Oryctolagus cuniculus: one gene and its partner. The protein of the gene in region 1 interacts with the protein of each later gene in a pairwise test. Links are inferred from orthologs where the notes say so. Each region holds a gene or a part of one and is shown on either strand. Other genes may lie near its edges.

Region 1 (4,003 bases):
TTAAGACCCCTCACACAACCATGTGTGTGATTCTTGGCAATATTAATATTAAGTTAAAAAAAAAAAAAAAAAAAGTTCCAGGAGACAAACATCTAGGGTGACATCATTCTTAGGAAGTTCACAAACAGACAAGGCTACCAGTGACTTAAAACACCAGATGGCGCAGCTGAGCAGGGGTGGGGTGGGGTGTGGGGTGTGTCTTGGCCTGAGGGTTGATACCAGCTGGGACACCTGCATCCCGCATCAGAGTGCCCGGCTGGAGTCCCCAGGTCAGCTCTCATTTCCAACTTCCTGCTAATGTGCACCTGGGGAGGTGGCAGGGTGTGACACAAGTAGTCAGGTCCCTGGCACCCCAGCTTCAGCCTGGCCCAGCCCCGGCTGTTACAGACATCTGGGGAGTAAACCAGCAGATATGGGGGCTCTCTCTCTCTGAATCTCAAACCGACTAAGACAAACAAAACAAACACAAAACCCAAAAGCCAACAACATAATGACAAACATATCACAAGGAACTTTACAACGGAGAGACTGAGTCGATCTCACCCGAACCCACTGGTCAACCTTACAGTTCCTAACAAGAAAAAGAAGACATGCCTCCTGGCACCTGGCCACCACACCCACTGTCTGGTCTTCCTGCCAAAAAAGGATGCTTGGGCAAGCTTCTGGATCTACCAGTGTACAAGAGACTACCCAGCAGACAGGAACGTGTCCATGCCTACCCAACACGCAAGGAATTCTACAGGACAAATGACCTGACTTTCTCAATAACCAAATGGTGTGAAAAAGGATTTTTAAGAAAATGACACATGGTGCCGGCGCCGTGGCATAGCAGGTAAAGCCACCGCCTGCAGTACCGGCATCCCATATGGGCACCAGTTCGAGTCCTGACTGCTCCACTTCCCATCCAGCTCTCTGCTAATGGCCTGGGAAAGCACTAGAAGATGGCTCAAGTCCTCGGGCCCCTGCGCCTGCGTTGGGGACCAGGAGGAAGCTCCTGACTCCTGACTGGCCCAGCTCTGGCCGCTGCAGCCATCTGGGGAATAAACCAGCAGACAGAAGACCTCTTGCTCCCTCTTTCTCTCTCTGCCTTTCTAATAGATAAATAAATCTTTAAAAAAAAAAATGACACAGGGGCTAGTGCTGCTCAGCGGGTTAATGCCCTGGCTTGTGGTGCCAGCATCCCATAGGGCGACAGTTCAAGTCTTGTTTGCTCACTTCTGATCCAGCTCCCTACTAATGTACCTGGGAAAGAGAAGGAACATGGCCCAAGTGCTTGGGCTCCTGCATCCACGTGGCAGACCTGGAAGAAGCTCCTGGTTCCTAGTTCCAGACCGGCTGAGCTCTGGCCGTTGGGGCCATTTGGGGAGTGAACCAGGGGATGGATACTCCCTTCTCCCTCTCTCTCTCTCTGTTACTCCCTTTCAAGTAAATAAACAAACAAATCTTAAAAAGAAATAAAGAAAAAAGAAAATGACATAACCCATATATCAAGAGAAACCTAAGACAAATGTCAACCAATCAACATGTGGACTCCATTTTGGACTGCTTATGAACAGTTGAAAAAGTATGAAGACTGATATTTGATGATATTAAAAAATCATCACTAATATTTTTAGGCGTGAAATAGTAGCATAGTGATGTTAAAAAACAAAAAGTAGATTTATATGCAGAGATACACATGGAAATATTTCTGGATAAAATGATGACGCCTGGGATTTGCTTGAAAATTCAGCTGGTGCCAGGTCAAGCTGACACCTGCAGTGCCGGCATCCCATATGATAAGCACCAATTCAAGTCCCGGCTGCTCTGCTTCTGATCCAGCTCCCTGCTACTGTGCCTGGGAAAGCAGCAGAGGATGTTCCCAGTGCCTGTGCCCCTGCCACCCGTGTGGGAGACCCGGATGGAGTTCTGACCTCTTGGCTTTCAGCCCAACCCAGCTCTGGCTGTTGTGGGCATTTGGAGAATACACCAGCAGATGGAAGATCTCCCTCAAACAGATGAGAAAATAAAATAAATGATTCAGCCAACGTGTGCTGAGGGAGAAATAGATGGGTCGAGAATGGCTGTGTATTAGTAATGGGCTTGCACTAACACCCTGGAGCTGGGTGCTGGGCGTATGGGGGCTCACTCTTCGCCTCTGTGTATCCTTGAAAGTTTCCATGACAAAAATGTTAAAAGAGCAAAACGGGCAAGGCTGAACATATGATGTAGGCAAACATGAGATAAAGCCAAACCCAGAGCAGGGAAACAGCAAACACACACAGAACAAGATGGGATGCTGACCCGCAGGTACAGGATGCTGGGGGCGGGGACGGGGTGGAGCACACTCTGGAAGTAGCTGCAGACAGCATGGGGCAATAAACTGAGTGGGTGCTCGGGAGACTGAACAGGGAAGGATGGGAAAGACGAGCGTGAGCCGGGAGGGCAGGCGGCTCACCTTGCTGTCAGAGTCCACGCGCTCATCCACAGAGTAGGAGTCATAGTAGAGACTGAAGTCATCGCCCACCACCGTCTCCCACTCCTCCAGGGACCTGTGGTCCCCCTTCTCCAGGGTCACCTCTCCTGAACCCCGAGTAGAACCCAACTCCTCTGACTAGGAAAAGATCAGAGAAATTGAGGCCACTGTGCTCTCCCACCCCTGCCCCCCACTTCTCTGGATGCAGCCCCAGCTCCCTTGGAGCAGCCCCGGGGGGAGAGGTCTTGCTCCCTGCTCTCTTGCTCACCAGGCCACCTCCTGAGTTCAGCTTTCTCCTTTTGGCCACATCTGGAAGAGGAGAGATAGAGAGAGAGAGAGGGAGGGAGGGAGGGAAAGAGGGAACGAGAGAGAAAGAGAGAGAGAGGTGAGCAGTGAGGCCTGTACTGTCAAAGCCTCAGGCAAGGCCATGTCAACAACGGGGCAGGGGTGGGCCGCAGGACACGGGACTGACCGGAGGTCACCTTCCCCAGCGAGTGGACATCATCACTCATGCGGAAGTGCTGCACTTCAGGAGGCCGCTTCTCCGGGACAGGGGGCTGGGGATGAGGAGGAGCACGGTTAGGGTCACACAGCACCTACAGTCCTAGCGGGCTTGGCCGGGAGCCCAGCTAGGGGGGCAGCAGTGAGCCACCCAGCACTGAGGCCCAGCAGAGGCAGGGCCCCCTGTCCCAGTGTGCAGAGGAGAAGACAAAGTTAGCAAGCTTAAAGACCACATTCAGAGCAGCATCGTTCCCGACAGCGAAGGCGTGGGAGCGACCAGTGTCTGCTGACAGATGAGTGCAGAAATGAGACAGACAGTCAGCTCCTTCCTGTATCCACTGATTCCACCAAGGTTGGAAATACTGGGAGAAAGGTAGGGGCCGGCGCTGTGGCGCAGCAGGTTAACACCCTGGCCTGGCCTGAAGTGCTGGCATCTCACGTGGGTGCTGGTTCAAGACCCGGCTGCTCCACTTCCAATCCAGCTCTCTGCTATGGCCTGGGAAAGCAGTAGAAGATGGCCCAAGTTCTTGGGCCCCTACACCCGCCAGGGAGACCCAGAAAAAGCTCCTGGTTCCTGGCTTTGGATTGGCCCAGCTCTGGCCATTGCAGCCAATTGGGGAGTGAATCATCGGATGGAGAACCTCTCTCTCTCTCTCTCTCTCCTCTCTCAGTGTAACTCTTCCAAATAAAAATAAATAAATCTTAAAAAAAAAAAAAAAAAAGATAAACACTGCCTGTACTGAACACATGGACTTTCTTTTTCATCAAGATTCTCTTAACAACACAGCAGAACAACTATCCATGCAGCACCTACACTGCATGAGGTGTTGGTGTTGGAAGTCAATGCATTAGGAGGCTGTGTACGGGGGTGGGTGGGAGTCTTGGAGCCAACCCCCCACCCATCTCCGGGAAGGACTGCTGGACACAAAGTGGAGTATCCCTCAGCCATAAACAGGAGGGAGATTCTACCACCACACAGACAGTGCACGTTATGCTAACTGAAACAAGCCAGTCACAAAAAGACATGCTGCACGATTACGCGTATGC
Region 2 (4,003 bases), on another chromosome or scaffold:
ATAACTAGGGTCAAGCCAAAGGATTTTACAGCTGTCTCGTAAAGTCAGCCTCTAGAAAGGAGGGTTTGCGAAGGCAAATATTACTGGGGCTGCCTCACCACAGGGGCGCCTGTTTCCAGTGACTTCCCTGGCTACAAGGTTTCCAGTGTGGGCTGCTACTGGGCCCACTCCAAGACATGACTTAATAACATCTGCGAGGGAACTACTCAAAGAGCGCGCGTCCCAGTTGTGGCTGATGTGCTGAATTTTTCTGAGGCGCACACTGCATTCTGAGGTCAGCATTCAAATGAGCGCTTTACTCATTAATCATTAAAGGGTACTGAGCTTGAGATCATCAGAAGAACATGGAACAGGCAAGGAAAAAAGTTTTCTCTTTCGGCAGCATTCACAGCACGTAACACTGCCTTCAGATGGCCTTCTGTCGTGCTTTGCTCTGCCGTGCGCAGTAACCTCGACTTTGGAACAATTCCTGTTCCGTCAACGCGCCCTCCCTGCGCAGGCAGGCGCCTGGCTTCAGCTCCATGGCATTTTTCCCTCACGCGGACAGGAACAATTACAAGTGCATGTCATGTTGCAAGCTACCTTGCCAGAGCCACCCCCGTCATCAGGAGGTCCCTCAGCCTACAAGATGTCTCTTCTGCTTAGTCACCCTACTTTTCCTCGCACGCAAGCACAGGCCGTGGGTGGGAAATGGATGAGAAGGCAGGAAGACCACTGTACCAGAAGCAAGTGCTTGGGCCTGGGTCCCCCCTGGTTGCTAACAGTGTGCTTACAGACCAGCTACCTAATGCTTGGCTTCTCAGTTCTCATCTGATCCGGCTCCCACATGCCTGTTACAGGCGCATGCGAGAATTCCTTTGAAAACACTTGGGAAAGTGGAATGGGCTGTGTGCCACGGTGAAGCCTAACATACAACTGCAGCACAGACCCTCTCCCCACTGGCTGTGGCTGGGAAAGAAGATCCATGCTCTTCTTCATCCATCAGGGAGTCTGGGACAACCAAGAAAGAACGATGATTTGGCACAGCAGAAAACAAGTGACGATGGAGGCGCCCCTCTGAGCTGAATGTGGCTATGATGAGAACGTACATGGAGGTACTAGAAAGAGAGGCTCTACAGCCAGACAATTCACATTCTGCTGCAGGTAACTGGGCAGGGGAGAGGAGTGGACAAGATCGGCGGAAAGGTGGGTGGCACGTTTGGTCAAGTTGGGAAAGTGCGGGGACAGGAAGCTGGCCGCTGAGTCCAATGCCGAAGCACCACAACACAGACAAAGTTACACCACCACCACCAATCATGATCAATAACAATGGCCTCCACCATAACCACGGGGAGACGGCAGAGAGCGCCACAGTGGCAAATCCTACCAATGACATGACTTAACCCCAGGGAGGGACCAAGGTACCAGCCTGGTGGACCTAACACATACCCCCACTCAGGCGCTTGATGCTGACCGATACAGGGCAAGCCTCCTGCTGGCTGGCCATTCCACAGAAGGAATATTCTGTGAGCACATGTGATTGAAAAGACCCGAAAATGAAGAGTTCTTTCAAAGCTAAGCTTCTCTGTGCTCCAGGGACAACTTCCTGCTGCCACCACTGTTTATAGAACTTGTTTTGGAGTGTCTCTCTTGGGCTTGTGCGTGGCCTGTAGATTTTGACATTCCTCATGGTAGAAACCATATACTTGATTGATTAGAAGTGCTAACTTGGAGTGCTAGATGTATCCACATGAAAACTTTTCACAATCCAAGTTTAAGTTGCCTATCCAGATCACCAAATTCAAGCTAGGCCAGAATTGTAGGTATGGGGAAACTATGTATCCATAGCCCAGAAGGGTGAAAAAAAAAAACAAAAATGCTTCCTGTGGTAGGGTGCAGGATCATGGGTACATAACTGATGGAAACTCAGCATAACTTGTGCTCATGTTGTCCGTGCAACAGAGCACACAGTGTTTTTGGAGGACTTCTCCCATGCTGACCAGCGATACTGAGCCACTGCCCAGTGGTCATTCACAGTACATCACACATTTGAAATCTGGTCCCTCCACGCCAGGTCCCAAGACGTGTGCCACTATGGCCATCCCGGGTAGGCCTCAGCATACTTACTCTTGCAACAATGCTTGCGGGGGGGACACTGAGTTCATTAAAGGGGGTGACATTTCTTCAGGATAATAATCTGTCCTCTGTGGTTCGATCCCAGGTTCTATTTTAATTTTTTTCTGTAATATGGGCTTCTCATATGATTCAATTACAGGTACTAAAAAATAAGAATGCAAGAGTCAGTCTATGTACAATTTACCAATTTCAGCTCTTAAGAGTTTACTGCGCAGTTCCTATTCACAGTACTGAGGTGTGAGTATCGATTTGCCTTTGGCAAAGTTATATATAAAAGGGACACAACTAGGTGGTGGCGGGGGGTGGGAAGGATTCTCGTTTCTTCTGATCATTACCGTGCCAGCAAGCAGCAAATGCAGAGACTCAGAATTCTCCAAAAAGGACTTTCTCTTGGGATTTTTGGATTCCACCTTCCACCCCATACTCCTCTGGCTAAGACCAGCTGGTATACAAGGCAGCTTTTAATTACCACCACGATCAAAAAGTATTTATTAAATGCCTTTCTGTACCTAGAACCATGCTGGCATTCAATAACACAAAATTATGAAATCAAGACCGTGACTATCCCAAAGCTGACAATCATATAGTGAAGGTAATTACTGCACGGTATTAGACAGACAGCCTGATCCTTGGGAGCTCTCCCACTATCAACACTTCAACAGAATCAAAAGGAAATGCCCGAGGCAGGCCAGTATTTCCTTTGAAGAAAGTGTGCTCTGTGCTTTCTCATAGTACGCTGGCGCACAGTCTACCACGCCGGTGCAGCTGCTCGGCTCAGCGGAGGAAGTTACCTTGCATGCTGCTGTTCGAATTTTCCATCTCTTCTGACAAGGAGACCATGAGCGGCTGCTGGAGGTGACTCGTGTACATGAAGGGGACGGGCTGCACCACGACTGGCTGGATGACGGGCAGGATCCCTGGGCTCCGGATGCCGTGCCGGGAGAGAGCAGCTGCCATCACCGGCGGCATGGACAGCGGCACGCCGAAGGGCTGCACGCCTGGCGAGGGCGGCGAGTATTTCTTGATGGGCGGGCTAGAGGAAGGCATGCTCAACCCGGGCGAGGCTCGGCGATGCGAGGACGAGAACTTCAGGGATGAAGGCGAATTCCCAGCGGAAGGCGGCGAGCTCCGCTTGTTCACCGTGAGGTCCACCGGTTCCATCTGGATCCCGTGCGACAGGCCTTCTGGGGGCTGAAAGAACTTATCAGGCAATGGTGTAGAGTAAATGACCCCATACTTGTTGGGCTTCATCGACTCCATGTAATTAGATGGGTAGGACTATTGGAAAGGAAGAAATAAACAACATTTGTAAACAGCCAAGTAAGTGTATTTACTTGAAACATGAATTAGGACAAAAATACATGCAACAAGGCACTTTCAATCACGTGGGCCTTGAAAAGTAATTTAGACTTGGATGGATGAAGGTACTTGAAAACAATTCATGGCAAAATGCAATTAAGTTTATTACATGCAAAAAAACCCATGCATGTTCCTTTCCATGAGCTATCCGAAGACCCCTTGCATTCGGTTCATTGGTCAGCAAGCCTGGTTTACCCGGCTGGCACTGTAAGCCCCCGCCCCAGGAGACGTCTCAGTTGCAAACTGGGAGGGTCGGTTACCCACACACCTAGGCAGGCACTGAAGGCCAGCTCAGGAGGACTGTTATGTCCTTGGCTCTAACTTTTATGATTTGGAAGTGAGACTCACTCAGGACGCAACCAAGGCAGGAGGAGAATTTTCACTAATCCAACCTCAATCAAGGACATGAAGGACACAGTCAGGAAATACAGAACACCTAAATTATTGCTTTTAGCAAAATCTTTGAGTTATGTATCGAGGATGGAAATTAAGAAAAAACTCTTTCTACGTTCCTTCAGAACCAGGCATA

What was found.
Region 2: the proteins of EHMT2 (region 1) and KLF3 interact in binary tests that used the Homo sapiens proteins (3 or more experiments, as listed by UniProt). The two-hybrid records come from large-scale screens. The link is inferred for Oryctolagus cuniculus from reciprocal best matches to the Homo sapiens genes EHMT2 and KLF3.

The regions. Positions count from the first base shown.
Region 1 is NC_091436.1:138,647,197-138,651,199, reverse strand, and holds part of EHMT2 (histone-lysine N-methyltransferase EHMT2), read right to left. Parts: intron 3,013-4,003; coding exon 2,928-3,012; intron 2,765-2,927; coding exon 2,724-2,764; intron 2,594-2,723; coding exon 2,438-2,593; intron 1-2,437. UniProt on the Homo sapiens protein: Histone methyltransferase that specifically mono- and dimethylates 'Lys-9' of histone H3 (H3K9me1 and H3K9me2, respectively) in euchromatin.
Region 2 is NC_091433.1:32,687,096-32,691,098, reverse strand, and holds part of KLF3 (Krueppel-like factor 3), read right to left. Parts: intron 3,394-4,003; coding exon 2,907-3,393; intron 2,258-2,906; coding exon 2,107-2,257; intron 1-2,106. UniProt on the Homo sapiens protein: Binds to the CACCC box of erythroid cell-expressed genes. May play a role in hematopoiesis.